2 linked regions of the Struthio camelus genome follow. The protein of the gene in region 1 interacts with the protein of each later gene in a biochemical or structural test. Links are inferred from orthologs where the notes say so. Each region holds a gene or a part of one and is shown on either strand. Other genes may lie near its edges.

Evidence for each region.
Region 2: the proteins of MBP (region 1) and TLK1 form a complex in vitro, tested with the Homo sapiens proteins (2 studies listed by BioGRID, with this or other methods). The link is inferred for Struthio camelus from reciprocal best matches to the Homo sapiens genes MBP and TLK1.

What each region holds. Positions count from the first base shown.
Region 1 is NC_090943.1:106,583,344-106,599,955, forward strand, and holds the start of MBP (myelin basic protein), read left to right. Parts: upstream 1-10,450; 5' UTR 10,451-10,465; coding exon 10,466-10,602; intron 10,603-16,612. UniProt on the Homo sapiens protein: The classic group of MBP isoforms (isoform 4-isoform 14) are with PLP the most abundant protein components of the myelin membrane in the CNS. They have a role in both its formation and stabilization.
Region 2 is NC_090947.1:23,046,943-23,063,509, forward strand, and holds the start of TLK1 (serine/threonine-protein kinase tousled-like 1), read left to right. Parts: upstream 1-10,053; 5' UTR 10,054-10,365; coding exon 10,366-10,525; intron 10,526-16,567. UniProt on the Homo sapiens protein: Rapidly and transiently inhibited by phosphorylation following the generation of DNA double-stranded breaks during S-phase. This is cell cycle checkpoint and ATM-pathway dependent and appears to regulate processes involved in chromatin assembly.

The sequences.
Region 1 (16,612 bases):
CTAGTGCCTTCCCTATGCTTCCCTTCCCCATTGCCAACGAAAAGCATGGATTTCTGTAATATTCCTTGTCGATTTGAAGGAGTTGTTTGTTTGTTTGTTTGTTTTTTAACTAGATGCAAAGTGTCTCCCTCTAAACATGAACTATAAATTAGTGTGAGTAATTTTTAGTAGCTGTAATCCATTGTGATTTTTATTTTTTTACCGGGGGGTGGGTCCTTCTTCCTGCAGCATTTTAAAATTATTGCTGCGCGTGGTATTAACTGTGGAAGAAGACTAATGTTCCAATGTCCCTGGTAGTGCTAACGAGGAGGATTGCAGTAGAAATCAGTGTTTTAAAGACTGAACTCTGTTATTCCAAGAAACACATGTGGCAGCTATCACAAAAACACTTATAAATCTCCATTTATGTCAAATGACTTTAACAGAAACTGGCTAAGGATAAAAGAAATTCACAACAATTCTAATTTCTGTTTTGAAAGATTTGTAACAGAATTTTATTTTTGACCTTTGTTTATGGAAAAATGATTGAATAAGCTCTTGAAACATAAGTGTAATAGGCTTTGGACACCTAACTAAGCCACGTAACGTAAATATGGTTGGTTGCACTGAAGTCATGGAGACAAAATGAAAATATTGATGCTTCTAAAACAGATGCTTCACATCTGACAATTTTTTCCTTTAAGGAAGTGGGATTCCCTGAATGTTTCTCAGGATGTGATAACTCTATCTTGATTTATCTGTACAGGAACTCCTGTTTTTTCAGCGCAGTAACTCTACTGGTTTCAGTACAGTTGTGCAGTGTTTAGGCCTAAGTACTTACTGAGGAAGTGATTGATCTCAGACCCATGGTACATGAAGCTCTCCATCCTGCTAGATCTGAGGAAGTCTTATTTCATCTGAGACGCCCCACATGCTGCTGGTGAAGTTTCCGGCAGAAAGAACCCTCCATTTTCCTGCCTGCAGAGGTGTTGCAGCCCAAAGTCAAATGGATGGACTGTTGGACTATGTGGATTAGAGGAGCTGCAGCCTATTAACTTGAGAATGTCAATCACATTCCTTCTGCATTTGTCAACAAAGGAAATCTATTATAAAATAGGATGGAAAGGAAAACATAGGGCGTGGATACCAATTATACAGCAAGCCCAATTTCAGTCTGAATCTGCTATTGAGCACTACATACAAATTCTGAAAGTTTTAGCCGGACAATAAGAAAAGACACAGAGGCGAAGAGGAAGAACCTGACCCTAAAATAACTCGATGAACTAAATTGAACCACACAAAATGATTCTTAATCCTTACCCACACGTACCCTGGAACGTGTGGGTAAGGAAGGGCAGGGCAGTAGCGTATTGTCCACACTACTTTATGTTGGTTAAATATTTGATTTAGCTTAAACTTTAACCTTACTTTAGGATTTAATCTGTTTGTGCTTTAATTGTCTTATTTTTGTGCTATAATATTTCTAGAACACAAAGCAGGGGCACTATCTCAATCACTGAGCAGAAATGGAAAGAAAGTTTGTTCTCTCTCTTTCTCCCTCTCTCTCTCTCTCTCTCTTTTTGTTTCCCCTTCCCCACGCCTGTAAAGGAGAATTCTTAAATAGTTCATTCTCCAAAATTTCTTGAAATTATTTTAGTACTCTATTTCAGAATACTTAATTATGATGTGAAGGTCTAGAAGCAGATCTGCTTCAGAATCCATGCTGAAAACCTCCTCAACCAAAAGCTGTCAGGGAGAAAAATGAAAGCTGCTCTCTTTTACTCAAAATTAGGTTGCCATTCCTTTGAGGGATCGGTGGCTGGCTAACATGATCATGAATTGCACAGCCTCCAAAGGAAGCTGACTGATAAAACTAAACAGAGGAATTTCCCCAGATTTCAGCAAAATTAGAAGTGTGCTTTGGAGTTTTGAAATACTGTCCAGATTTTGATCAAGATATTTTGGTGAATCTAGGCCTAAAGAGGAAATGGGAAGATTGAGCGAAAAACAGTTTTTTTGCTTTCCCTCTGTGTGATAAGTAAGTTCCCCTAGGTTACAGCAGAGAGTATTATCTCTGTTTACATATGCCGGGAACAATAAATCTTTCTTCTTTTTCAAAATCAGTGCTCGTATTTAGTGGCCTGCTTTCAAGAGATAGATTGAAACAATCAGTGGGATTGAACTTAATTAACAAGATTTTCTGAAAGTGAGAAGCCCAGGCAATAGGCATGCATGCTTGGGATTTTTCTATTTCCTTTTTAACTGGTTTAATTACTTTAATGGTGCACTTGATTCCTCCCCACCCTTGAATCTGCACATGGATTATGCAACTTCAGTAACATTTCTAGTGTTATTTCAGTAGTTATTTGCAATGCAGAAGCACCTAGTCAGGGACTAGGACCTCACTATGACTATCGATCTGATGAATTAATTAAAAAAAAGTGAATGAATTAAAATCAGCATGTTACTCAAAATCACACGTTAGTTTGGCTAGTTATCATGACTCCCGACCTCTTTGTAATAAATCATTACTGACATCTACAAATATCTGACTTTTCTAATCAGCTCACTGTGTTTTTTCAGAGCATTGTAATTACATTCATCATCAGGGGTGAAGTTTGGAGAAAAAGCCTATGTTTTCATTCATACACAAGCTGAACATCAGCAAGTTGGACACAGGGAGCTATTTAAAATTAAAGCATTTTCTCCATGATCTATATTAGTCTGCTTATATTGATGTAATTATGATGTACCACTGCAACATAAAGACTTGCACTTTAAGTGCCACATTCACAGTTCAGCTATTCTGATTTAAATAAAAATACAAACCCTTTAATTTAACAGACTTCTTATGTTGAGGAAGTAGAGCAAAATTTGATCTTTATGATTGTTTTATTTAAGATTTTTTTTGTTTACTTTTTACAGCTATAAAAGGGATTTTGATATGAAGGTTATTAGTCAGAATGTCAGTCATAAGGTTTCTGAAATGTGTAATTTTGTGTGACCTATAATTTTAAGAGAAACAAAAATGTGTGCAAAATAACATTTTCCCAAGTGAAACATCTTCAAATTTCTGGGCTGCAGAACTTGTACGATCACATCTTTCTGAAAATTATAGTTAATTTGCATGAATTGTAGGTTTTTAGTGTCCGGCAGATCTCCTTAAAATGTCATGATTTCAATAATCCATTTATTTTAAATATATTATTCATGCAGAAAAATCCAAAATAAGCCATATTTCCCACAGGGTGGGAGGAAAAAGAGCACTCAGACTGGGGGATTTTGTAAGGCATATTTTTTGTAAGGCGTGTCTGCCATGCGCTGTAGAAATACCTGTTTAATTCATAGTGGAGTCTAGTTTGTTTTCTGTGTTAATTCAAAAAAAAAAAAAAAAAAAAAAGGTAACGCGCAAACAGTGGAGATGCATAGGCAACCTAAATCTTTTATTTTGCATCAGTCCTCTGTAAATTTTAGCACATACTAGTACTGATTCTAGTTCTTGCCCGTTTGTTATTTGTGCTGAAGTGGCATGAATCAGAGGGTTTTTATTAATATATGTAAGGGTAAGAGCCTGAGCACTTCGTTTAAGAGATTTCTGGTAATTTGATGCTTCTAACAAAACAGTTCAAGAATCATTAAAAAAGCATCATAAGACTACCTCAGGGATTTGAAGAATGGAATATTGTAAAACAAACTTTCAAGGTAAGAAGTGAAAACTTGCATAAATTCTTAGGAGATGACAGGATAGCACATCATGCAGTAACCTTGTTGATTGTTAATTGCATTATCTGTGTGTACAGCTTCGTAGCCTAGTGTGTGATTTCTGAATGTGGGACTTTTCCTTGCTGTTTGGAGGGCTTTGGGGTTTTTTTTAGTCTCTTCTTCTTAAGTACTTACTTGCATTAAGAGCCTTGGATTGAATGCCCTTACAGGTTTCTGCTTGTGGCTTTGGGGAGAGAGACATTTATCTAAGGTTTAAAACATATCCATATCTATTTCTGTCAATTTTTAAACTGCTTCACTATTCTACACATAAAACTCTTCAACTCTAAATCCTTAAGTAAAGGTTTGCTTTTACACTTACACCTTCTAATTAGCCTGGCAGTCAGCAAATTCGACTTTCATCAGAAAACGCAGAAGATAAATTCCAGGTCTGTGAAAATCCTTCACTGAAAATATCCTGCCATCAGTTCTACCTCAGCCTTTATATTTGATAGCCAGCATATCTCAGATGATCTCAGCTCTCAGGGGAACATGAGAATAGAGGCATTCTCTGAGTGCATGAGTGGTTAGAAAAACACTACGCTTAGTGATCAAATGAACAATCCCTTTGAGCTTTCGAGATAGTACCCCCTCTCACAGGGCATCGGAAAGCATTTCTTTAACGATTATGCAACAACAAAGCACAATAGCATCGCTGGTTGACATGGTTTCTTTTGGAGGAAAAAAAGTCCAAGTTTGTGTATTACCTTGTTGTTATGATCTCAAATGAAGCCACTTCAGCAGTGAAGGAAGGCAACCTAAACTGTTGTCAAATCCCTGATATCAATGAAATAGCCTTCAGCATAAATAAGCGTTTCAGATTTTTTTTTTCTTCATATTAACCCATAGTTTTTTGCAAGGTTGTCACCTGCCTGAGACTTGTTCCTTTCAGTCCTTGTTCTGGCCTTCCAGCTTTGTGTTACACAGTTTAAAAATCCTCCTGGAGTAAATAGGCTCTGTATTACCGACTGTTCTTTTTATATGCTCTAGGACATTTCTCCAAGCAGCTGTTCTTCCTGTTTACTACTACTTTTATTCCCAGTGTGTGACTGTCCTATTTGACTGCTGTTGTCTACTTTTACTTATCACTGGTCTTGTCCCTGCACTTTTCTCCCTGTGTTTTCTTCTCACCTACTGCTCCCTTTCCCCCTGCCTAAACTTTTGCTGCATTTGTATCTGTCCATCTGGTTGCTTCCTTCCTTTACTTCGTTACTCTCTTCCTCTCTTCACTTCATTACATATCTTCCTTTACTGCCAGGGGTCAGATCCATCTGTGCTGCTTTCTATCTCTTCCCCACATACAAACCCCTGACACTCTCTTCTAGCAAGCTTTTTGATTACTAAGGTGGATGTTGCTGCAACCATACTTCAGTATATCAGCCATTCCATCTCCCTTCTTACATCACTGGACATTGCGTAGAAGTCCATATGTCACGGATCAATTTTTAGGTTATTTAGATTTTTCTTCTTTGATTTTTAAAAACAAATAAGGAAGAGCCTTTTTCTTAATAAACCAAAAAGATGTGTCCTGCATGTGAGCTCCTGCAAGCCACATACCAGTGCTTGCACGGATTAATGCTGTTGAGATGACCTGGGTTAATAGTTGCTACTGTCACAAAGGAGGCTGAATGGAAAATAATATTGCAAAGGTGGTAAGACCTGTAAGAATTTAAAACTACACAAACCCCCTTCGTAAAACTCGCAATAGCCTTCTTCCTCCCACCATGGGGCTTCTTGGAACCATCGTGACTCTTCTCCTGTTGAAATAATTTCTAGTCAAGACTTGAGATGTCTTTCTGAAAGAACTTTTATTAAGTGGTTTTAGCAATACACAGCATCCCTGAAAAGCTGAATTTTAAAGAAAGCAGTACGGACTTACCATCTGTCTCCTCAACATGTTAACAGACCGTTTGGCCGACTTATGATGGTTGAGTGTGTGTATTCAAAGGGCGAAGGAATTAGTTAACCTGAGAACTTGAAAAAATATCAAGTAAATTAGTTCACTTTTGAATTTTTTTCTTTGAATACGAAAAATAATAGTAATGTCCAGATTTTATTATTTTGTGTGTACACACAAACACGTCTGTTTATTTTTATGATGCACAGGTGGTGCTCAGTACACAGTAGGATACGTATAAACATACATGTATTCTTTCTCATTCCTTTGGATGTTCATGCTTTCTAATCATCTTTGCTAGACAGAGGAATAATGGTGGAAGATCGTAAATTGCTTTGAATTAAAATAAAGATCAGGTGTGTACCTTTTTTGCTAGCTTGCTGGTACAGTGCCAACGCCTTATTAAACACTCAGAAGATGTGATAATCAAACACATTTTTTGTTGATCAAAACTACTAGTTCTCAGCCATTGTGTTGCACACTTTTAGGAAGACTAGGTGCTTATTAGGTTAGGGCCAGTACCTTCTACTGGCACTTGACAATGCTGGAAGAATAGGAGAACAGGGCAGACAACTGGATAGAGGATGACAAGTTATGTCCTAACCGTCCTATGACAAGTTACGATGTTCATACAAACAATGCACGGCCTTGGAGGTAGTACACTGAATGTCACACTTGTAAACTGGGTAAAAAAAAAAAAAAAAAAGCATTAGTATCTTTCTTTCTTCACTGAACAAAAGTCTGTTGAAGCAGTGTCTGGATGACCAAGAGACTAAAGAAATTCAGATTATCAATTTTGCTTGTTTAATTTTGAGCTTTGTAGGTAAGTGTCTAAAATAGAATGAGTCAAAGATTGCTTTTCATTTTAATGAATAATCTGTAGAGAATTCAGCTCTCTGTTTGAACAGACTCAGTTTTGCAACTATCTGTAGTTTTACAGGCCATTGGAATGGTCGTTAACTTAATATTGAAGTTCTTTGTGTTTGCTAGTTTTACAGGCTTTTTTTCCCTTTTTTTCCTGCTAATTAGTTTGATGCTGCCTGCTTGACTTCTCTGGACTGAGAAACATCTTTCTACTTCTGTATCTATACTATTTATATGTACTTTAGGTCTCTGGTCAATTTTTAGGAGAGGGAATGAATTTCAATCTCAGTCCTAGATTTCTAATATGACCTACTTATTATGGCTGGAATGTGTCCTCATTAGCTCCTACTGTTGATGCCTGTCCTTTGAGAGAATTTTTTGCTCTGCTAGTACTTCTAAAGCATCTTGTTTGTTGTCGATCCTTGTGCTCACACTAGTGCAGAAAAATCCAATAGCAGCTACTATCTGCATGGAGTCTATATAGTGTCCTGCTCTACTTCAGAATCACTCAGTGCTGTTAAATCTGGCAGAATCAGGTTGAGATGTGCTTGCATCTTCCTTTGTCTGAAAGTGATTTCTGTGTAGATTGAGACGTTTTTAGTCTGCACTCTAATGAGCCAGTCAGTTTAACAAGAACTTTGTTCCACTGCTAAAGGTTAAATGTTTCTTCATACTAGAGAAATTGTTGTGAATTTCCTGTGTTATTTCATTCTGCTTAAAATTAAAGTCTAGATTTTATTAAAGCAGAAGTTCTTGCAGTGGGAGGTCAGTAGTGTTGTGTGTGTAAAGATGAAAATTAAGCCCATTTTTATGTTGGAGGTGTATGATGTCAAGTATTTAAAACTGGTTTTGTGCTTAAGATACTTTTACACTTCGTTATTCCCTTTCTCCTGCCCTGTATATATTATATACATAAATAGGTATATATCTATTCACCATTCCAGTCTGTATTCTGAGGTGAGAAACCATCTTGCGGAGTTTGGCATTTTACTGTACTCTGGCCTGGATTACTCTGCCTAAATTTAAAGCTTTAATGTAAACCTCTGCATTACTTTAAAATAAAGATGTCTGTGTTAACGGTCTACTCCGGCAAGAACCATTCACATAGATAATACCATTGATGCTGTAGGACATTCTGCTAACATTCCCCTTCTTCCAGCTCATCCCAGTAAAGGAGACTGATGATTGACTTTGAGCTGTTCTTAATAAGGAAATCCACAGGTTGTTAAATTTATCATCGTTAGACTGCCAGAGGCTGGGGATGAGCGTTTATCACTTTGATAATTGATTTGATTTGATATTCTTTATATATTAAGTCATACATTCTGTTCTCTCCTTTCCGTCAACTGTCTATTTATTCAGCTTACAGGCCTTATGATACTGAATTTTCAGTTTTTGACTTGGAGAAGATTTAGAGTAAATAAGCGAGTTTTGCACTTTTGTTGATGAGTTTCACCAACCAACCATACACGGTGAGGAGGCCACCATGAGCTGTGCTTCATGATCCCTGCTGAGTTAAAGCCAAACACCTTTCACACTTCTCAACCTTGTTTTCTCCCAGTGGAGTAGATGATGACCAATAATGAGTCAAAACCCAGGTGGTTATTTAGGTGCCAATTCATCTTAAGTGTGTATTTCAACAAAAAGTTGCATAACTGTGATCCCAAGGAAGAATGGGGAGAGAGGTGAGAAAGTTGTGCTGGTTTTGATTATCTCGTGATGGGCATTTAACACAAGCATGTCCTGCTGCAAGACAGGGTCCTGCTGCAAGATTTTTCAGTATATAAATATGTAGTTTTAGTGTCTGACTCTACTGCTGATCTTTTTTTTTTCTTTAATATATTTTGAGTCCTCTGGTTGGTTAGTATCTTGCTTCAAATTTGAAGTTTAAGTAAAACAGATGAAAATATATGATAATTTAACAGCTTGCTACCCTACCTGTTAGAGCATGAAGCTGATACAATGCAAAAAGCACTGATTCAAAATTGGTAAGCAAGCAATTTCAATGTTGTGAGTGGGTTTCCTGAAAGACCCAAAGCAAATTTTTAATTATTCAGAAAAATTATCTTAAAAATCATAATCTGTATGTGGTGTAAGTAACTAAGAACATATAAACACAGAGGTGAGCTTTACAGACTCCTAGAGCATTTACGCTTTTGTAGCTCAATCTCAAAAACAGAATTGTAAATGGAAGGGCAAGACTAGAAAAATCTGAATCCTATGAGCATTAGCGATGAACGCTATGTTAATAACAGATTCTGGGAGCTCTGAGATGTGAAATAAAATTTGACATTTGCGAGTCTATGTAGGGTTTTTTTTGAAGGTCAAAGTGACTGATGCTAGACCATATATGAGCTCTAACCTGAAAGATGAAATTCTGACACCACTGAATATTTCCTTTTTTACTGGTAATAATGCCACTGGCTGTATGGTGTTTTGTAAGAACAATTCTTAGGACAGCCAGGTGGGATGGCTGCACAGACATATCCTCTGAGGCAGCAGCTGTCTGTAACATGGCATTTCACTTGGCTAGGTGCTCATTTGCTCTTTGCTGCTACGTTTTGAGCACACTGTAATCTGTTTGGAATGGCTGCTTAAGTTAGCAATAGTCCAAAAGCAGAACTTAACAGCATCTGCTTTTCTGCTGTTTACTGCCAACTCCTCCATACAATCCATTTCGAACAAAGCCTATTTTCACGATAGAGCAATTAGGCATTTGGCTTGTTTGTTTTTAATTTCTGTTTGACTTTATTGCCAGAACAACCTGGGGTACCGGTGACTATGCTGAAAGAGAAGTTTGCTTGCTAACAGTTATGGATGTTTGCCTTAAAAAAACACTTTGGTGAAGAGTCATACAAAAGTCATCTCCAGAGAAGGAGGAGTTTTAAGGCAATAACAACACAATTAAAAAAGAAAAATTAATTCATTTTTGGAGAAATCTCATTTTTTAGATTGCTCCAGATCATTGTTATACTGAAAGCAGGCACATAGCAGTTTGAAAGTAAAAAGATATGTTTTTGTTATGGCTGCATGGGGCAGGAAGAGAGGGGAGACAAAGGAATTGTACAAGTCTGGAGAATGTGATTCTGCTGGTAGGTAAATAGGGTGTCTCCTCCTTCTGCAGCTGCATCTTGGTCTGAAGTGCATGATATGCCTCTCTCGTGCTAACTGTGACTATGGGTGGAAAGCTTTAGCTACTTGGCTAATTCCTCTCTGACTACTCGTTTCTGACAGATACAATACCAGAGTGTTTACCTCCTAAACGGAATAGAAAAGTGGGCTGATCAAGCACATAACAAATGCGTTAATCGTTAATGCGGTTTATTCCTGTGCTTTGAAATTCTTGTTTTAGTGATTGATTTATTTTATATGCACACCATTAAAAACACAGAAGCGTTTCTTCCCTCTTTCAAATTTGAGGAATAACCAGATACAAAGGATCTCGCTAAACTGCGAGACCCCAAGAACCTCTTCCAAATTTGGGGGGGGGGGGGGGGGGGGAGAGACTTCTCCCTGAAGGTACGCGCACACAGTCTTTTCCCCCATGCCTTCCCAACCTGTATGTCCCCGTTTCACTGTCAGAGAAATCTGAATGTGCAGGCTGGATAATGAGGACTTTGGAGCATGCTTCCTGCCAAATTGTATGGGCACAGCTTCAGAATCCGAATATATCAAAAAAGGGGGGGGGAAAAAGTTTCTTTTTTTGCAGTTAGGTCATTAGCAGTATGGATAACATTACCTTCTCATTCTTTTGAAGGTTACAGCAATTATAGTTCTTGATCTCTTTACAGTTTGTGCAGAATAGATCTATGAAAGATTAAGACTGCTTGGAAAATACAACTGCTGTTTCCCAGCCGTGTATCAGCTTAGTTCTGAATTATGATAGTAAGTGATTCCTCTGCTGTATATGAAGCAAGTAGTCCCTGATATCTGCTTGATTAGAGGTGGAAAAGTTTCACTCTTATGCATTTTTTTTTTTTAAGACTTTTTACAAATCATAGAGGAGGTCTTCTGCAGAGGAGGAAAAGACACTGCTGTAGCTCGTTCTCTGGAATTGCTGGCATCACTGGCATCTCTCCAGTCAGCATTCAAGTGCGATGGTATTCACTGAGCGTTACTTCTTCAGAAGCAGAGCATCTTGCTCTGTTTCAGTTGATGTTACAAAACGTGAAAAGTCAGTCTCTTTGGATAAATTTCCTTTCTCCAGTCACTGAGCTTTTAACTGCGCTTCTTTTTGTTGTTTTGAATGCTTCTCTGAGTGCAATTGAAGGCATATTTGAACTAGATAGCTAGCCTTCTGCAGGCTTAATGCTGCTGGTATTGCTGAGTTATTAATGCTCATGTTCATGTAGATACTGTCACAGAGGCTGTGCTGTGCGTCCCTGCTGTGAGAAGCTTCACAGGCAGGAGCTAACTTGGTGCGCTGTTCAGGGCTGTGTTGCCTCTGTGTTGGGGTACCTCCACCCTCGCGTTTTGCTGATTTCTATGCTTTGACGCAGGGCTTGTTTGTTAAGGGAATTGCTTTTATTCAAGCAGCAGGTGGGCTGCGATTTGCTAATTACATCAAATTTGTGTACATGTGCGTGCAGAGTAGTGATAACAAAAGGCTCCTTACTTTATGCAACAAAACTACTAATGTCTGAGATCTCATGAGTCGATGTTGTTTTACAACTGTACAGATGCAATTTTTATTTTTTTTAACAGAATGGCTTAACAAACTTTGAGATTTGTGGTTGTTCTTATACATCTATCCAATTATGTTCTAATAACTGGGCTGGATGTCTTAGATCCCACCACTAGAATGAACACAAGGGACTTGTGATGACTAGAAAACCAATCAAAATAATAATAATGAAAAAAGAAAATCTGTACTGCAGTGCAAGAAAAACACTGGCTAAAGTTCATGCAGTTTTTCTACTGGTTAATGGTGATGATGATGGTAGGTAGCACTTGGGCAGCCCCTTACAACTTCAAAGGACTGCACAAATAATGCATTAGTTTAATGTAGAATACCCCCTCCAATCACTTCTACCATAACCAGGAGACTTGAAGCCTTTTATGAAGTGTAACAGACCTGTCAGTGAAGTGGAAAAAATGTAGCCAGCATGACTTCAACTTGCAATCATCTAGTCAAACTGTAACAAATAATAAATTAGGTTTGTATAAAAATATATATGTATTTGCCAAGATCGTGGTGTGGTACAGCCCCAAATCAAATTATCCTGTACCTTTTTCCCATGTTCTATGTGGAGTGCAACACACCACTTATCCTCTAATTCCTACTGATGGTATAATTTGACAATTATTGATTTCAACCAAGATGTGTCAGCTAGCTGCAAAGAATATGGCCCATAATTTTATTCTTTTCAGGCACACAGACAATATTTTCCTTGTCAGTGTAGAAAATCTCTCAGTTCAGAAATTGGGTGGATGTTCTTCTATTCCAAATATTAGGTGTCTCCTAATTTCTTTGTTGCTTGATGGGCTTGTCTTATTTAATGGCACAAAGAGAATTGTCAAGAGGAGGTGTGGGCAGGGAGGAGGGAGTGTGTTTCAGTAAATGCCTCTTTATGATACTTTCTGAAAGGCAAGCAGTCAGAGCTGTAGGCTTTTGCAATTGCAACTTTTTGTCCTAATTGTGAACTACTTAGGTTTTGTAAAAAGAAAATATCCTGTTTTGTTAGTCAGAATGCGGTTGCTTTCTCTTGCTTTCGATTCTTAGACAATACTACATCCCCAGTGGGCTGCTTTGCTGCCGTATGGGCTATGCTTAAGGGTCAACCCCTCCCGCAAAGGGCTTATATTTTATTTATGTAAGTAGGATAGTTCGTTATATGCTAGAGGCAATTCTGTGCAAGTTGACACTGCAGATGGAAACAGGACAGAATCCTGCATTTTCCTTATGCTCAGCAGATTGCGCACTGATTAGTTATCTTTCAGTAGCGTTTGAAGGCTAAAGATAATGAACTAGGACTCCAAAATAAATGCATTTACTTTCTGAGTTTTGATACGTGCAGACTGTCAGGGAGCAGCAGGAGTGACCTGCCCAGCAAGGGATGGCAGGAAGGGAACAAGGGTGACTGCGGGACAGGGACCTTGCCGAGGAGAGGCACACCCAAACGGTTACTGGGGTCAGCTGCTGCTGGGGGAACACCAGACTGGTCTGCAGTGGTGGGGGCAACTCAGCAGGGCCAGGTCAGAGCTAAGTGAGGCACCAGGCTGGGCATGGGTGGCCCTGTGGCGGCACAGGGGCAGGGAGCGGCCACAGGCCCCAGCTGAAACAGAGCTGCAGGCTGCTGGGCCCTGGAGGCGTCTCACAGTGCTCCCTCGCAACGGAGCTGCTTCCCAGCAGCCTCGTCCCAGGTTGCAGCTGCCCCGCGGCAGAGCTGACCCTCATCACGGGCAGCTAAACCCCTGCGGGGGCCGGGGAAAAAGGTCGCAGGGCCTGCTGCCCTCAGGAGCCTGGCAAAAATAGCTTCAGGCCATGATTTTTCAAACTATTCCTCACAAATACCAAAGCTAGAGTTTGATGCTTGTTGTTGTTGTGTCTTTTCTTCTGTGTATTTTTTTCTTTCTCCTCTGTCATTTTGCCATCGTCTCTTGATTTCCGGTAGTTCAGGTTTTCCATGGGGAGAAAATTGAGACGCTCAGTAAACACGAGCACAGATTTGGTGGTACATAGGCAATTTTTTTGCTACCTGCTCCAGTACACTGGGCTTCTCAAACCTGTGGCACCCCCCAGGCAAGCCGTGCTAGTCATCCGAGTTTCTCAGGGTAACTGAAGTCCGTGAGTCACTACTATGGGCTACCTACAGAACTGAGAAACTGAATCAAATTGCCAGAGCTTTATAAATAGGTTACTGGATTTTTTTAGCATTGACGTATTCTCAAAGGCTAGTAGATAACCTGCTGGGATAGCACAGACAAAAGCAAGGGAAAATGTAACACTCTGTGTAGGAAAGACTTCTTATTTTGCCAAATGGTCACAATTTATGGATACAGAAACGTTCATAAAGTATTTACCTGGGAAAAAACTGACCTTTTATTTTCAGAGGTAACATGAATACAGCCATTTTCTGTCTACAGAGCATTTTTGTACACATTCCTGAGCTGCCTGCGCGGCTTCCCAGAAGGTAGAAAAATGAAAGCTTCCTCCTGTGAAAATTGAGGCAAAAATAATTGTCTCTGTTTATTTCAGTAATGCCTGGAGGCTTGCACGGAGGCTCATGCTTTTGCACAGACAGACACGCGCACACGTCTCTTGGCACATGCGCGTGTTGTTTAGAACTACTGATTATTCAGTCCTTTGCAGGCTGCTCCACCTGAATAATTATCGTCTGAAAGCTGTGTGTGCAGGGTTAATGCAGCACCAAGGCCGTTGCAGGTTGAGCGGGGTCTGTGAGCTGCGAGTCAGCGTGGTGTGCTGCCTGCCACCACAGCCTCTCTGCTGGCCTGGAGTGTGTGCCGAACAAGCCCTGCCTGCAGGAGGCAGGCGAGGTGCCCCAGCTTCCCGGGGTTGCACATTTCCGTAGGGTACCTGGGAAAGCAGGGCACGTGCTTGGTTTGTCTGCGCACCCTACTCTGTGATACTCCTTCTAGGGGGGTTTAGTGAATCGCTGTTGGGCTCTTCCTGAGTTGTTCCGGAAGAGGTGGTTTTCCTCGTTCTTGTACTTCATGGGTGGATTAGGAGGAACATACCCAATTTGCACTTGGAAAAACGTGTACATAACACTTCTGGTCTGCAAAAATATTTCAGATAATTTGCAGCTCTGTCTAACTGTTTACCATTTCAGTCTTCAAAACTAAAATTTCTTTAGGTAGAATGTGTTTTTTTCCATTGCATAAAAAGTGACTTGTACAAACTCAAATAGCAAAAATAAATTAAAGTTTGTGGATTCTTTTCTTTTTTTTTTCTTTTTTTTTTTTAATAGCAGTAACTCCCACGAACTGGTACAAGGCTTGGTACTGTGCAAGCAGTTTTTCACTCTTAGAATGCTGCTACTGAAAAGCAGATATTGTGTAAAGTACCATCGATCACTGCCGCTGTTTTATACAGTTTGTCACCATTGTTCTTCGTATAGCATTGAGTCACATTTAGAACTATGGTACAGCTCACAAGTGTTCAGCAGGGGAAAAAAATGTTTTTTTTTTCGTTTTTAACTGTTTTTTGTAATCTTAGTCAATGATAGAAGATATGTCTAACATGGCCTCCTGTACATGAGAACAAGTTTAATTTATTTAGAAAAATATAATGTGGTTTGTAATGGTGAAGAGTGGGATGGAGCTTCTGAAGACTTTAGATAGCTGAGGTTAGATACTAAAATGCTAATGCAGAAATCTAAAAGGCTATTGTGACAGAAAGTTAGCTCAGAGGAAGGAATGCACTTTGACTGTGTTTACTTAAACAGCTTTGGGATTTCCCAATAATTTCCTGGATATTTCCTGACTAGGAGCATACTATATCTTACAACTTTAGCTAGCTAAAATCCAAGAGGAATACTAGATACATGTCTTCAGTTTCTGAAGACTTGCATAGTTTTTGATGGCTTTTTATCAAAGGAAGGCTGGTACTCCTACAGTGCCACAGCACTCTTTGGGCTCCCTGGATATGCTCCGAGGTGCCATTACCTTAGGGGTCTTCATCAGCTGAGAGTCTACTACAGGATTCGGGTTTTTCCTGAGGTTTGTTTTGTTTCTCCTAGTGTGACATTGATTTAAACAAACTGTTCCCCTGTGAATGTGCTGCAGTGATTCCACGGAGAATTGTGTTTTTCTTCAGTTTGACAGACTTTTCTGGCTGCAGTGATGGGGATGGTAGTTGACACTACCACCATTGCCTTTTACCACAGCAAAAGTGTTACTGCTTTTCTTCATGCTAAATATGCCTCAACTAGTTTTATTATGTGTATATACAACCCGAGGCTGGTCTCTGTGCATTCTGGGAAGTGGAAAGACAGGATTAAGACCTTAAAAAAAATGTTTATTTCAGAGATAACATAACTGAAAAAACTGGCAATTGAAAACTTTTTGAAATTCTTGGAGTTCGGAAAAGTGTCATTTTGCAGAAAGGGAGCAAAGCATACATGTAAGTTTTATTATTACAATTTTTATCTTAAAATTTACAGATTGATAGCAATTGTCAGCTTGCAGGAAGGAACTGGATCAACTAAATTGATTTTATTAAAGCAAGATTTCCTTATGTTTGCACTTACATTTGGGAATTCCGCAAATATAGATATTTGTGGAAGATTTTATTTTAGATGTGTTAGGCAAAACGATCATCAGATAAAAGAACGTAGGTAAATCTGCTGCTGTACTGAAGATCACTGAAGGATTAGCAGAAAGATTGGTTTGTGACAGCCTGTGGCATGTATTATAACCAAGCTGGTCTAGAGTATATTGGTAAGCATGACAAGAGATTGGACATTATCTATATGCGTGTGGAAAAAAGTTTGATATTGGGATAAAGTAAGGTTGTGCGGTGAAATGCAGGCATTATTTCTGCAAGCGGAGTTGACAACAGAAGACCTTGAAATGGGTAAAAATAGCATGGGAAGGCAAGTTGAGAGATGTAAAGAATTTTTATTTTTATGTGCCCTATTAGTATGCAAACAGTAAATATAAATGTACATATAAAAAGTCTGATATCCAAGTATGCTGTCCTTGCTGATAGTGTTTGCAGTGTAAAAGAGATCTGTTATACAATAGAGTTGCAATTATTTCTAACATAGGACAGTAGCTGACCTGTACTTAAAAAGTTAAAAGTAACAAACCCCTAGACGACCTCTGTGCTAAGTTCCCATTTTTCCTTTAATCTGCTATGGGGAAAAAAATTGAGGAGTTGTTGCCTGTGCTGTGTGCTGGAAGTTAATCCATGGAAAGAATCTACCGTAGGTCCACGCACCACCACTTGTCCAGTTTAGGCATGCAGCAGGACTTGGAGCTTGCCTACATTTTAATCTGCTTGCAGATGGCCACCTTATCAAGTGCTAGCTTCAGCTAATTGTCAAGATCTCTTCAGATTGAACCACTTATCTCACGACTTAGAGAAGCTGTACAATTTTCAGTTGGCCTAGAAAGCATGCCAAACAAGATGTCACAGCCACCTAA
Region 2 (16,567 bases), on another chromosome or scaffold:
AAGAGTTTGCGTTAGCTCTCAGGATGGAAGTGTCATCAGCTCAACTGCAACTATAGCTTGACACTTTGTACTTCTGTGCATGTGCATAGCTTGATATTATCTAAGTACTGGTAACAGCGATACCTGAGGCTACCGTGGATAAACATTGAAGGTTTCTGATGACAGCATCTTAAGCACAGGAGAAAAGCTCTCGTGTGGTTTATGCTATCATCACAACCCTGAGGTGCTGACAGAGCTTCATTCACAGTTTTCCTGTGAGTTGTTTTTCTGTATTTCATATATCATTTCTGTTTGTTGTTAAAAAACGGAAACAATTTTTCTGTTTCAGTAAATCCAGATTAAATTTAAGTATTAAAAGCAAAATATCTGTTACTACCTTAGTCATTTTAAAAGAACTAAAAATCTCATTTGTCAATGTCATGAATATTGAATGAATGTTTTGGCCAATAGATCTGTATTTTAAGAAATAAATAATTAATCAAGAACAAAGTTTTATTTAGTTGAATTTAACACAGGACCATGATTTCTGCCATGTTATTGTTTGCACTAGTCAACATGACAGTCAACTCTGTCATCGCTATTAACAGAATACAGTGAGTATGGGACGAAGGATTTGCAAAGCTGGCTAAAAAATGTTAATAGCACTTGTCATTAAAAAATCTGGTTTATTTATGTGTTTCTATTTGTTTTCTGTCATGTTTATGTTTTAAAGTTACTAAACTGAGTGGGGTTTTTTTTTTGTTCCTTTTCCTAATTATTTCTTATTTTAAATGGAGGCTTGGTTTGTTTTACTAAGGCCTTGGCTGCACGCAGCAGTTGTACTGCTTTATCTATAGCAGCCAACTTAAAGGAAACAGGTCCTCTAGTACTGAAATTGTTACAGGAAAAAAAAGTAGGGGGATAGAAAAAGACCTTAAATGATCATCTAGTCCATCCCTGTTCTGAGGCAGGAAATGGGTAACTAGGTCATCCCTGACTGATGTTTGTGTAGGCTGCTGTTAAAAACCGCAAATGAAGGGGATTCCACAACTTCCACAAACCCATTCCATCTAATCTAGACTTTAAGTTGACAGGGTTTTTTTGTTCTTTTATTTTTTTTCCATCTAGCGTACTCTTCTTTTCTGCAAATTAAGCCAACTACTTGTTATATTTCAGGTAGGTACAAAGAACTGTTGATCATTGCCTTCTGTGTGATGCTTTTTTAAATCCGTTTTCTCTCCTCAGTCCTTTTTTTTCTGAACTAACCAAGCCCCATTCCTTCAACCTTTCCTTGTAAATTGCATTTTCAAAATAACTTACCATTCTTGTTGATTTCATTTCAACTCCATCAAAATTGTTTAAATTTTTCTTGGAGTGCATTGCCCAAAGTTGCTCAGAATGCTCCAGCTGAGGCCTCAGCGGCACTGAAGATTGCAAAATAATTAGCTCCTGTATCTCACATGCTGCACGCTTCTTAATACATCTTGGAATGAGAAATGGCTTTTTGCAACATCATCATGTTGTTGACTCATATTTAGTTTGATACCCACTCTAACCTTCATATCCTTTTCTGCAATCCTCCAGCGCTGTTAAACTGTCACCCTATTGATATATTTATTTTTGTCATGGGTAGTACTCATTATCTGTAATTTGAGTATGTTAAAGTTAGACTGTTTTTGAAGTTGTCTAGATATTTTGAATTCTGATCTGTTTTCCAATGTGTTTGCAGCCCCTTCCAGATTTTCTGCAAATTTTCTGCAAGTTCACTCCCTGTTCTATTAACCAGCTGTTAAATGAAACATTGAATAGACGAGGACCCATGAGAAACCCCTGAAGGATGTTACTGCAGTGCCATCCCGATTTGTCAGGACACCATTGATAAATATGTCTTGGGAGAAATATTTAACTGTTTGTGTGTCAACTGTTACTTGATTTCATCTACGTCATTTTTCATATTTTATTGCAGGCAAAATTACAGGGGACCAAACCAAAAGCTCTGCTAAAGCACAGATATTGTATTAACTGCTTCCTTCTTATTCAATAGCCTGTTTCCCTGTCTAAGAAGGAAATTAGGTTGGTTTGATGCAATAATGATCCTAAGATTACATCTTAATGTCTTATTGCTTGATTGTTTTCTATCATATTTTTATCTTCATCATGCCTATACACTAACTGCCTCATAACCTATGATAGTATCTTTCAGAGATGGATGAAGTATATATGAAAGTTAGGTCAATTGAACTCTAACTCCAAAGAGAGGCAGTATTTTCACCCTTTCCAGTCCTCTAGGATCTCCCTTGTACTCTGTGAATTCTCAAAAAGCATGAATCATCATGCAGAGATTATTTTTTCTTTTTAAATGCTCCAGGGTAATTTTTAGCCTGTTTTCCGATGGAAATACAATTTATGTGATCACACTGTATACTTGCTTGTCAGGCTGCACAATAACTTTTGAACTTATTAGTCACTTTCCAGCCACATTGGACTGGATAGTAGGGATCTCAAAGGTATCACATTTCTACAGTTTTTGTGAAAATGAGCATGTATATAGACAGTCTTCCATGGCAGGAAAGAAATCAGTCTGAATGAAACCATGATATTAGACACTGGAAAATTGATGCAGAAGAACCTTGTTATGAATATTCCATATAAATTTCAGTCAGAGCTTTCACTCTGGGCTAATCTGAGCAGGAGGCTACGCAAGGCTGCAAGGGAGCAGGCTTTATCCACTGCTATACTTTATCTCAGCTACACGTTCTAGTCAACAGGATCTGAAACCGTCCGTCGTGTCTTAATATCACTTAACCCATTCCCTGCCTTTTCTGGCCTGTGCTTCTTGACCTTTGTTAAAAGTAATTGCTTTGCGTATCTGATCTTAAGATTTTTTTGCAGAGACATTAAGCAGAAAAGAGCATTGAATATTTTAGTCTTCTCTGTGACATCTGTTACTTGCTATCTTTCCTGCTAGATAATGGATGTGAGCCTTCCATTGTCTCCCTCTTAGGTCTGCTCTGTGTGTGGGTGGGTGGGTGGGTTGGTGTGTCTGTATGAATATAAACTTTTATTGGCTTTTAGGTCTTTTCCTAGTTTAGCTCATTTAGTCTCTTAGCCTTCCTGATTTGATCCCCATGTGACTATTCCTTTAAACTTGCCCTTAGTCATCTGTTCTTGTTTGGTGTGATTCATCCTTGTTTTTTAGGTAGTTAAAGAGCTCCTGATTAAGCCATATTGCTCTCTCTCCGTGTTTCCTTTGCATCAGGATAGTCTGCTGTTGTGCCTTTAATATGCCTCTTTTAGTAACTGTCAGCTCTCCTATGCTCCTTTTTCCTTCTGAATTTCTTCCAAAAGATCTACCCACCCATTCATTCCCCAAGCCAACTAAAATCTGCTTTTTGAAGTCCCATCTCTTTGTGCTATTCCTTGTCTTCTTTAGCATCATTACTTTTACTGTTTTGTGATCAGTTAAACATAAAACATTCCTCCTTTCCTCCTTCATTTTATCAGTTAGTACTTTCTGATTAAGCTAGATAATATGTAGAATAGCATTTTCCCATATCACCTCCTCAACTATCTGAAATAAGAAGTTGTTTTCAGTACCTTCAGGTATCTTCAGGGCAGCTTGTCTCCTGCCCTATTGTTTTCCAGGACCTTGTGGGGTGGGGGTGGGGGTGGGGGTGGGGGTAGGAGAAAGCTTGTCCCAAATCTGCTGACTATGGGGTTGTTATCTTTTTCTTGGAGGGTTATGACATCTCTGGACAGAACCAGCGACAGGACACTGGACTAGGTGGCTGTCAGATCAGACTGAGCACAGGAGTTCCCCTACTCCTGGCACAGGGGGCATCCTGAAAGAAGTGGCAGACCAGCTCAGCTAGATCCGGAAGGAGACAGAGGAGCTGAATCTGTAAATTATAGTACTGTCATTTTAATCTCTAATATTTCATTATCTGTCAGGCTTATCATTGATGTTATTTGGCCAAAATTTGAAGTCTGTATTCATCAGTTAGAAAAAACAAAACCAAACCAAATTATTTTTTATTAAAATGACACACAAGAAAGGATTGTAAAAGTGTCCTTTTTCTGGCTGGAATATAGCTAATAGTAGTTAGAGCAGGGAGACTGGAGTTAAGAGGAACATTTCTATGGTAAGAAGAGAAGAGTTTAATTTTTGTGTTGTGTTTGGTTTGAAGGGAAGCCATCTGCAGGCTTCTTAGAGATTTGGTCTAGAAGTAATCATAGCAGAGGTGGATCACTGGATCTGACTGCTGGTGATGATATGAGAAGTAGATGATAAATACAGTTTATGACAATTACACAGATGATAAAAATAGGTCTTTGCTTACATGCTGCTTGTGTCTATTTCTTGAAAGTAGGCTTAATGTGATACCATTTTTTCATTCTGGCTTCTCTTCAGCTTGATATGCTGGTATACGTAGAGAAGATATTTCTGCTGGTATATTACTTATGTATATTTTTTTTTTTACCTTTTAACTCAGAGTTGCCTATATTAAAAAAAACCATAAAGCATGTAGTTTAGTATGTGGTTCAGGGAGACAGCTCTAATTCATTGTGCCTCAAAATTGATTTAATCAAGATCTGAATAACTTTTCCCTATTAAAATATCACTGTTTTCAATCTGATTTAGAAAATTTTAACTAAACATAAAAATTAAGGTTAGCACAATATTCCTATTTGCTCATAAACAGAAATCCAATGTAAGAATCAGGTGCAAAAGGTATTAACAATCTGGGACAATGTTCTATCACAGTAGTGCGTTTGCTGTCACAAGTCACTTGGTGTTTTACTTTGTACTCATGCCAAATCTGCATTTTTCATCTTCTGAACATCAGAGCACAGCCTGGAACATTCTAGCTGTGGTTTAGCCATGACTGCACAGGAGCGTGCCGGTGTGATAAGGGGAGGGTCCTCACGGGCACTCAGCTATATCAGGAATGGGAAGGACACAGTGTTGGAGCTACAGACTTCCAGCATTCCCCAGGACAGGAAACAGTATTTTCTTTTCCTAAATTATACTTTTCCAGAACTCCACTTTCAATCTAAGCTAGAACTGTCAAAAATACTTCATTTTAATGATGAAACGATTTAGGCATTTTCTATACAAGTTGCTGTACCACTCTGTCTGTTTTAGTCAGGAGAATATTTTTTCCCCCATGAAATTAGAACAGTTTGGCTGCTGGTGTGGGCATAGTAATAGGGTGTGTGTACGTCCTTCTGTATATGAGGTATGTGAGTGCATGTGTATATGTGTGGGTATACATGCATTTATACATATACATACATATAAAATTGGTCTACACTGGCAGATATACTGGTACATCAGCATAGCATACTGGAATAGCGTATGTTTGTCCCTTAAAGAAATACCTCTGTAGATATAAAGCACCTTTGTAACAGCATAAAGGGCTGTACTCAGAAAAATTGCAAAAGGGTTGCAGAGAAGTAAAGAGAAACAAATGAGGCAACCCGCTCACACATCTGACGTCTCTGTTACCCAGACGTGCCGGGATGACAGGGAATTAACAGAAAGAATTTGAAGTCTTCTTAACAAACGAAACCTGTTTCACTGGCACCACAAATAATTGATGGGATAAATCAAAAAACTTGAATATTGGTTACAGAAGATAATTGCTTGTTTGAGAAAGATATGACAGAAACAAGGCCAGGGTGCTCTGCTGTCTGTCAAAGAAGATAATTTGCTCCAAGTCCAGGAAGAGGAAAGAAAGCTACGTATTGAATATTTCTGGGTAAAGATATAAGAGGGTATAAAGAAGAGATGCAATGCCATTGGCAGATTTATTATACAACTCTTAATCAAAAGAAGCAGGTGAAAGAACTAACTCACAAAAACATCCAAAGGAAGGACCCTAATGATCTCTGATCCCTGACATTTCCCTGAACTCTAGCTGAGTCAAGAGACTGAATTAAGTTCTGAAGCATATAGCTTTTCCAGTGATGTTATCATTAATCATAACTCTGGAAATCCTGACTTGCATTCCTAGAAAAAGTACAAGCCTGCTCAGTCAAGTTCCTCTTCCATCCCTACTTCTCCTGTTTGTCCTATGAACTTGAGGTCTCCCTTCTAATTACTGGTATAAGTAAAAGATGTTCTAATTTAGAAACTATATGTAAACAGACATTACTCGTATAATCTGCTACATGACCTGATCAGGCACCACCCTCAGATATTCTGGTGTCTGAATTTGCTGCTGGCCTAAAATTTAATCCAGCTAAGATCAAATTGATTTTGGTGGGAAAAGGATAGATATGACATAGCCAGCTATTAAGAATGTGTATGACTGGTGTTAAAATAGTACTATTTCTCATGAGGAAACCAAATTCTATTTAGTACTTGAGAGCAGTGAAGGTGAAGGTCTAGGAACAGGGAAAAACATTCCTCTGTAATTGGTCCCAAGAACATAGAATATTCTTCCTCAAGAACATGTAGGATAAACTTTGGATTGTATCATATTTAGTGTTTGAAATTATGTCTCTTTGTTCTGTAAAGAATGTATGTAGAAGTTTTGAAAATGACATTTGACTTGACTGCACTGTTTCCTCTATAGATGCAAGGTGAATGTCTCTAGAGACTAAAACTCCTGCAGTAGTCTTACTTACTTTCCCTATGCAGCCTGTCAGTCCCTTCCTTAAACCCCTTACCTTCACTATCTCCTAGTTAATTTCTCTTACTTTTTGAAAGATTTATGGGTAGATTGTGAACTTACTGTGATAAGAGTTACTCAGACAGTAATTCCATTGGCAAAGTTGACAGCTTGCGCAATTTTATTTCAGAATTTTTGTTATTTGGCTTTTTTTGTCTTTAGAATAATGAAATTTCATAATCCTTTTCTGTTCTTCAAGCATCCTTGATTTGAGGGTTGGTGCAGTGATCAGCCTTTGATAACTTGCATTTGACATACCCTAATGTGAGAAATAGAACATAGGCATTTTATTCCTTCCTGTTCTGATTTGCATTTTGAGATCCTCTTCCTTAGCAGTTAGCAAAACTAAATGAGCTTTCTCAGACTTAGCTTGGAATTAAGTTTTCCCTTGTATGTGGCACCTTCTTCATTATCCAGTGCCACTCCACTGAAATGGGATTTCCCTGTATCTATTACCTCAAGTTATGGCTGATGATGATATGTGGTGATTACACAGGAAATCTTGGTAGCAGACTGTTCTGCTCCTGGAAACTAGAAGGCCAAAAGAAAAAAATGTAATATTTACTATTTAAAAGAAACGATAAAAGAGTGAGAAATACTTCTTCAGAACTATTTGAGAATTGGATTTAGTTTTTAACATTTTGTGGGGGTAGCACTGAGCTGATTGCCCACCACTGTGAGTAAGAGGTTATCCATCTGGCTACTGGACCATAAAGTTTTAGTGCAAAATGAGGGCAGGACATTGTCAGTCCTCTGAAAAGCATTATTCACATTTATGAAGTCCTATAATAAGGTAAGTCTTTTAGAATGCGTGTGAAAATTTCTAAAAGGTATCAATGAAGTTGTTCTTCTCTCCCACCGTGATACCATTAAACTGATAATACTGAAGCAATGTAGCTCTACAAAGGAAGGGATACTGTAAATCAGTGTCAGCTCTAAAACATTTAAAAAGTAGGTTTTCTATGAAATACGAAGGAGAAACATACCAGCTCCACATATTCTAAAAGCTAAATAGACTGTCTCATCTGGAGTCAGGATATAATTCACACTCTGCTTCAGACTACATCAACAGCTCACAGAAACAAGAGATATGGTTCTGCTGCTATATTATGAAAAGTAGACTGAGAAACTCCAGGATCCCCTAGACCCTAAACTGGATTTTGCAAAAAATACACATTTCTGCCAACTAGCAGTTGTAGTGTTTAATGAGCCCTCTAGTGGGGAATCCTGCAGTGCAGGTAAGTTCACTTCCTGTTCCCTCAGTGATAAGTCTTCTGATACACCATGTGAGATGTTTTCAAGATCTGATTATTTTTCTTAGTGTTAATTTAGGGCAGTTTGCAAGAAATCTCAGAATTTTCAGAATATTGAAACTGCATGTCTGATAGAAGAAGTAATGAAAATGATCTTTCTCTTCATGTGTTATCCCCCCTAGTCATGGTGAGTGTTACTTTATTAAACAAGGAGTCCCAGCAATTTCAGTGGAATACCTTGTAGACAACAGTATCATACGTATAAGCCAAAGTGGCACAAACAAAGCTTGTTTATGTATGTTCTTGTGAGGGTAGCAGAGGTTTGTCTTAACTGAATGCAAATGAGCATAAACAGAGACATTGAATTTCTTTAACGTATTGCTTCTTTCTTGGCATATTTTAAGAACAGTATGCTGCAGGAGGATATACTCATCAGGAAAGGAGGAACATGTTCACTTATGCTAGGGTATGGATTGTGGGATTGTATGTTTTATTTTTAACCTCGCAAGAAGTTTCGATACCAGCTGCTAAATATGAATATTGCACATTAATATTCACAGAGTGAACTAGTAACTGCTTTACTTCATGTCTGACTACTAGTAATTTCTTGGTGTAATTTGCTTAGGTAAAGCCTGAAAAATCTTCTCTATGATCAAGCCCTTAAAAAACAAACACGTCTTGGTCAAAACATCACAATACGTCTCTCTGCCAAAAAAAAAAAAGTTTATCTGTTACTAAATATATGTCCTGTAACAGATCTAGTTAGCAAGTAAACATATTAATTTTTACTTCAGGTTAATACCTAATTGCTAAGAAACTTGCAGCTATGCTGTATACTTGTGGGAGGTGAAGATCTTAGATAATTTGACAGATGTCACTTAGAAAGGAAGAGAAAGAACGGGTAATATCCATGTTGTGTACAGCTCTGCAACCCAACATCAGTAGTCTATTCCTGCCATTCTCAAAATTCAGAAGAAAAATGGGTTGGTAGATGGCCAGGATGTCTCCACACAGCAACTACAAAATGACTTCCATGCCTAGGTGATGAAGATAGTTATCTGTGTATGCAGAATACCATAAACCTGCAAGCCATGATTCTTCTAAATAATCAAAGCTATTGCGGTCCTTAACTTGCATTTATAAATTAAAAGGCTTTGTTCTAGAACTGACTTTACCACGCATCTCGTGTTCCCAGAAAAGATTATGGTAGTTTTAGGGAATGAACAAGTGAAGACTGGGTTTAAATGCAGCTCTACTTGCATTTTAGTCTAACTCAACGGATTTCAAAATGAAATCAGCAATCTCTAAGGCACAGGGGTGCATTTTGTATGACACGCAGGGCCGGGGCTGGTGCACCGCTGGGACCCTTTTGAGAGAGAAACATCTGCGAGAGGTGGTGGTTCTCGGCGCCTGGCTCCTGCCCCGAGTTTCAGCTCCTCCGGTGAGAGTGGACGCGTGGTGCAAAGGCAGGTTACGGCCTCCAAGTAACGCCTCGTCCCTGCAGACCGCGGCTTCCCTCCGACCCCGGCCTCTGCTGGCACGCGGTCCTGTTCGGAAAAGAAAAACACACACTTGAAGTCTAGCAGACCCCCGTCAGCAGCTGGCACCAGATAAGTCTCACTAGGGGAAAAGCTGTAAAAATAACGTTTATTTAAAGCGTGCAGAGAACTGACACGCTCAGCTCTGCCGCCGCTGCCAGGCGCTCACAGCAGCAGCCTGACCTGGGGGTTGTTCTGCGGGGTCCCACGTAAGGGTGACCCCGCACCCGCGGCCTGCGAGGGGCCGCCGCCGCCGCCCTCCCGGCCCCGGCGCCGGCCCCGGCGCCCCGGGCTGCCTCGGGGCCGCGGCAGCAGGAAACCGCCGCGGCCTCGGGGCCGCCTGCTCCGCCGCCCCGGCCCGGCCCGGCCCGGCCCGGCCCGGCCGCGGTCCGCAGGAGGGGAGCAGCCACGGGGGCCGGGGCCGGGGCCGGGGCCGGGGCCGGGGCCGGGGCCGGGGCCGGGGCCGGGGCCGGGGCCGGGGCCGGGGCAGGTGCGGGCCGGGCCGGGCCGGGCGCCGGCGGAGCGCGGCGCTGGCTCGGCTCGCGATCGTGTTTGCGCATGACCCCTCCCCGCCCCGCCTGCGCCCTCCCCGCCCCGCCCCGCCCCTCCCCTCCCCGGCGGCAGCGGCGGCGGCGGCGGGGAAGGGAAGGGAAGGGAAGGGAAGGTTAGCCTCGCCTCGCCTCGCACACAGGCGGCTGCTCGGCGGCGACGCAGTGCAGAGGTGCGGGCAGGTTGCGCCGGCCCCGCGCCCCGTCTCTCCCGCGCCCCGCCTGCCTCCGGAGCCCTTTCGCCGCCGGCGGCCTCCTCTCGCCGCCGTCGGGCCGGCCCCCCGGCCATGAGCGCGGCGCTGGGTGTCCCCCCGCCGCGCCGCCTCCCCCGCCGCCCCCGGCGGCTGCCGGGCTCCAGGAAAGTAGCTTGATGAGTGTCCAAAGTAGCAGTGGAAGTTTGGAGGGGCCGCCATCTTGGTCCCGGCTCTCCACGTCCCCACCGAGCCTGCAGGGCTGCTCGGCGGCGGCCTCGGCGGCGGCGGCGGCCTCCCAGCTCCCCGGCGCGCCGCCCGGCAAGCCGCCCAAGGAAGGTAACGGCCGCGCCGCGGGGCTGCGCGGGGGGCCCGGCCCTCGGGGAGGGGCCCGGCGGCCGCCGCCGGAGGCCGGTCCCGGGCTGGCGGGCGGCGGCAGCGGCGGCGGGGGAGGCGCGGGGTCAGCCCGCGGGCCCGGCCGAGCCGCGCCGGGGGCGGGCGGCGGCGGCGGCGGCACCCCGGCCCGGCCCGGCCCGGCCCGGCGCGGGAGGAGCGGGAGCGGGAGCGGCTCGTTGTTGGGCGGCGGAGGGCGGCGCGGCGCGGCGGGGCCGGGCGGGCGGGCGGGCGGCTCGCGCGTTTCGCGCCCCGCCGCGGCCGCCGGGCGCGGGTGACCCGCGGGCTGCGCCGGGCGCCGCGCCGCCGCCGGCTGGAAGGAGTCGGGTGCTTTTGGCATCATGGAGGAGGGCAGGGGAGGAGGGCGACGCCGCGGCGTTGGTTGCTGTCGGGAAGGCGCCCCGGAGAGCGGTGGGTCGCGTAGCCGCGAGTGACAGGGCACCGTGCAGCCACCGCGGAATGACTGCAACTTTCTCCTTTCCTCCATCACGTCTGAGATGATAATATTTTCCTCCTCCCTCCCCTGCTCCTCCCCTCTTGTGTTACACCGACAGCGAGAGCAGGGTGTTGTGGGTGTTTGCAGGGAATATCTGTATGAAGGTTATGAGCAAACAAGTCCTTTTTTTTTTATTATTCCGTTTCAGTTATTGTCTGTTTTTCCTCCTTGCATTGAAATGCATTGCCACAAGATGTAGCAGTTATACAGCTAGTGGGTTGCTCGGTGCTGTTAGCTGAAATAACTACTTGCTGAATGTCAGTCAGTGGTGGAGGAGAACTTTTATGCACAGATACATGCATACTGAACAGTCGTATCGTGTTACTTGGTGTGCCCCGGTTTAACGAATGCCATATAGTTTTTCTGCTAAAGTACAAAACATTGTTGGCCAAGCAGGAAACTTTCTACCTTAAAATAGGAATAGTAGTGGGATTGGGGAGTCTTTGTATTTACAGTCTTGCAGCTTTTTCAGTTGGTAAGCAGTACAAGGACTTGATAACAAGGATTCAGTATCCAGCAAATGTGTAAGGAAGTACCAGTTCCTCTGATTTTTCCATGCCGGTAGCTGTCAGAGTTGTATCACTCTTTGTCACTTTTGCACACGCTCCTCTGGGTAGATTGGCATGAAATGCTCTAGAAAATACCTGGAAAGAAATCACGGTGTATGTTAAAGATGCTGAGTAAAGTGGCAGGCATTTTGTGCTCGTGTTCTCTTGAAAACTGAAGCTCTTAAAAAACAAAAAACAAACAAACAAAAAAACCCACCACCACCAATAAAAAACCCCAGCTAAATATATAGTTTAAGTTTATTGAGCGTAGGTTTCTTCACTGCCACGTTTGTTATGAATATGGGTGAATATAATATTCATATAGAGGGAATATGAAAGGTATTTTTGGATGCATTTTGAATACCTGGCATACAAGCATGAAACGATTATTGCAGCACAACTTCCATATCTCTTTATTTTAAACAGTGCTCTTTGAGTATGTCTGTTTAGGCATGGAAAAACATTTTTGTAAAATTAATTTTTAAAGTGGTGGTGATGTTTTTTACATTTTTTTTCCTTCTTATGACTTAAGCTGTTTGATTTTTCTGCGTACTGTAATTTACATTGTTCATATAGATTCAGAGGTTAGAGAGCAATCACAAAACCCTGATATGTGCTTGGTATTGTAATTTACTGTATTTGCGTAGTGTTTTTGTGTTGTGGTAATTATATGATCTCACGAGGCAGTTCTGTTTGAAAATCAGTGTAAGCTCTCAGCAAGGCTTGTATTCATATTTTGCGTTTATACTTATGGAGTGTTAGTAGCACACCCTTATGTAGGTATATTTTGTGATAAAGTATCTGTGCAGTAGAGCATAGAATAAAAACATGCTGTTAATACGTCCATAGACATTGGCTTATATATGTGTAAGAATTATGTCGGATCCCTGCTAAACTAGTAAGTTTGAAATATTTGAAATGCAGTGCGTTTGTAGGAGTTTGCGCTCCCGCTGATTCTTAACTTGTAAGACCTTGTAACGATAGCAGAGGTTATTAGCTTGTTTGAAGTGGTGCGTAAGGATGTAGGCCTACGTTAGATCAGAGAAACACTCTGTGCGTTTTCTGCGTTTGCGTTAACGTCTATATGCCTATACCATTTTTGAGCAGGTAGTATTTCCAGATACGATGCGTTCGACACTGAGTCGAGCTTGTGGCCTAGTTTTGCCACTGGATTTGTTGATTCAAATCCCGTTCATTGACTTCTGTGGCAGTTATGCCTGTGTTGCCTTCAAACGCGCAGGCCTTCAGAGCGCGTCATGTGTGCTGTGGTCTAGCCGGCCTTACACGTGATTCATCTTGAAAGTTTAGCATGTGCCGCATTTCTCACACTAGCTTTTAAAGATTCCAGTTATTAAGAACATAAACCCCCAGCACCCTGATTTAGGAAGTCCTAAAAATATTCTCTGAAGCCTTAATTTGGCGAAAGCAAAAAGAAAAGCTTTGGTTTATAGCTGTCACCCAGAATTGTTTTAAAAAAAAAAAAAAATTCCGTGACAGTATTGAAAAGGAACTATTTGGACAATACAGGGTGAAATTGAAGAAAAGAATTCATCTTTTTTGAAATGCACTACAGATTGCACTAACTTTTTTAATTATATTCTTAACAGCTATACTTCTGGGGTACCGTGGCTTAACTCTATGGATCTGGAATTTTGTTTTAGGGTTTTAAAATAAAAAGATTGGAGTGGACTTAAGTACAATTGTATCTGAACAGTTTTATTACACCCGAGCTATCTCTTGTTTGCATTTCAGTATCGTTTCTAAGTTACCACATACTGGTTTTGAATTTTATATGGTCTCTTACAACTTTTCTAGCTCCTCAGATATTCTTGCATAACATACTGTAGTTGTGTCAGTTATTTTATATGAAAATAACTTGTGTGGTATACTTGGTCATTTACTCAAGAGCCCTACAAAATGTGCAATCAAGAATATGGGAAGAGCTGTTATGTAGCATTAGATGCAGTATGTGAGTGGGTAGATAAACCTTGTGCTGTAGCTCATCGAAGGCCGTCCTGCAACTTCATGTTCAAAGTTTGTTAGCTTTTGACAGATTTATGTGTGTAACTAATATAACCAAAGGACATAGTTAGAAGGTGCTGTTTTGTAACCTGGGGATGTTCAGGTTATTATTAGACAAAGCACAGAGAAGAGATTTTGGGGCATACATGTATGAATATCTTGGAACTGCTTCTTTTTGGAGGCTGGGGGGGGAGGGTAGCAGTGCCACGGTGTCCGATAGTCAAGCGTAATACTTAGCAGGCTGTTATGTGTGCATGCTGTTGGTTTTAAACATTTTACTAAAAGCAAAACAAAGTGCCAAATACAGCTCTGAACTACTATGATAGGAATGTGAATTTCAGATTTAGAATTAGAGCTCAAATTAATGTATGATGACAACATGGTAAATGAACCCATGACAGTTACTTAACACTGTTTAAAGAACTAATGTTACAGATGTAGCAAATTTTGATGGTGAATCTTTTTTCTAGTTTGATAAATGTATTTATCATTTTCATTTATTATTACCTAAAATGTAATGGTAGTTGTCCATCTGAGCCTATAGGTGCAGGTTCTTCCTTAAGTTTCCCATCTAGAAGATACTTCTACATGCAGATTTGTGTCATGCATGCTACATGCAGTATAGTAGTATATGAACATGAAAGCTACTTGATTTTATTAAAACTTCTGTTTTTTTCTCTGTTGTTTGCTTGTGGCAAAAAACTCAACTCTCTTATTTTCTTAACCAGCAACTTTGTTTATTGTTGTTTCTTATCATTTAACTGTAGATGTAGAGCTCTGAGGATTTTTTTGGATTTGGATGGTTTACGTGGGAGCAAAGTAGTATAGGAGCAGTTCACAGTTAAAGATGAGAGTGTATTTTTACTTAGAGTGAACATAGCAATCATAAAAGATTATTTAGGCCAACTATAGTGTGAGCAGGTTTTGTGTAAGGCTTACTGTTGTTCCACTGGTATGCACAGATTCCAGCTTGTAATATTGCTGTTTTTGTTGCACATGTGTTTCTTAGAGTGAGCTGATGCTTTTGACAAATTCGTATGAGATGTTATAGTATGACCAAATGAGAAAAGGGAAAAGAAGACTTTTTTTTTTTTTTTTTAAGTGTAGGCCCATCCTTATTGGAATCTAGTTTTCCAGAAGACAAGCGCTGCAGAGAATTGAGTAAATGAAACTTGGATTACTGTTTTGTTTTAATTCTGGTTTAATCTGCCTAGAATGGGGTTTCCCATTAACTTATTCCATTTTAAATGGAAAGAGAATCAATATCTCTTAGGACAGTCTACATTTATTTATTATTATCTCCATTCAAATAACAGGTATATTATTTCTCTTTTTTCTATAATTTTTTTCTTGTTTGATTTTTTTTTTTTTCCTCTCAACATTGAGTTGAAGTAAACATGTTTCAGTGTAATAACAGTTCTGCAGTTAGTGTTGACATTACTTTGGATTTTCTTAGAGCTCAGTAATTCTAACTGCATGCAAAATACTGTTCTGAACACTCCTAGGAAAGTCTATTTTGTGTGTGTGTGTGTCATGGTCAAAGTTAGATCTGTAGAATTTTGCTACCTAAAGAAAGGATGAGAGATTATGGAAAATAACTCAAGTTTAAATAATCCTTTATACTTTTTGTCGTCTTGATATAATTTAGTGTTTTGAAGTAGTATTTGTTCCCAATCTAGATTACCCCCATATTAGATTTCTTACCTCCACACTGAAATTTTGGCAGAAGTAAACGAATTTAAATTTAGTAAGCTAGGTGTGTTTATGAAGTGGAATATTTCTTGAACTGTAACTCCCTTGCAACACAAAAGCATATAAAGGGAAAAAGAAAGTTTTGGCCTCACTTTATGAGCTTCTCTTTTGTTTGGTTTGGTGTGTTTTAGCTGTGAAAAAGGAAAAAGGAAATTTGGTTTGCTGGACTGCTCTAAGTGGAAAGAAAAAAAAAGTTGAGGAGGAGAAGAAAAGTAATTAACTTTTCTATTTAGAAGAGCAGCGTTGAAGGATAGTTCCATGGAGCGTAGTGTTATAGTTGCTGGATAACAGTTAAACAAAACCCAGAAAAGCTCCTTGCAGAAGCTGACCTCCAAAACACAGTCCAGTTCCCAGGGTGGGCTTGTGAGTCAAAAACCTGTAATGCGTCATTAAAGATCGCAAGGGACAGGTACTCCACGTTCAGTATTTAACAACAGAGGAGGGGTGGTGAGCTGGATGAAGGGTTTTCGGGATCCTGTATCCCTTACCCAGAGCCAAACCCTTGTTGAGATGCTCTGCTTAGGAGAGAAACTAAGGCTCAGCTTCTCACTCGGACACTGCCTGTCCTGGGGACTTGCTCCTGAGCAGAGCTCTGGTATGGGCTGGAGAAAAATCCTGGCACCCAGCCTGTCCCTGGGGAGGATGCAGTCGGTGGTGGGACCACGGGTGCCTGCAAGCTTTAGCAGGGCTTACTCAAACACGGTCCCACAACGCAGGAGCTGAACGGTTTAAGTGATGGTGGACATGCCGAAGACTGGTGAAGGGGGGAAGGCTGCTGTTATGAGCCTTTGTGGGTGGGTCTATGCTGGAAAAATTGACTGAAATCAGAGTGATTATATTGCTAATTTTAATCATGACTTAAATCAGCGAGCAGGAAATCCTGATTAAATAATTGTTTTTAATTTTATTTTGCATTTGTGGTTAATTATTTTTCCTAAAGAAAAGTTGATTCTAATTGGTCTAATTTGATCATATTTCTTGCGAGGCAGGAGGGTACGCATCTATATGCATTTATTTAAGTAGCTATGTAGCTTAGATTCTTAATGTTTAAGAAACATAATTCCCCATCTTATAGATAGCTTTTAGCTGACTTTATTGGCTAAATAATATGAATCCTAATTGTGCTAGATATATAAGAAGAAATAAATATATCCAAATATGTTTTGCATT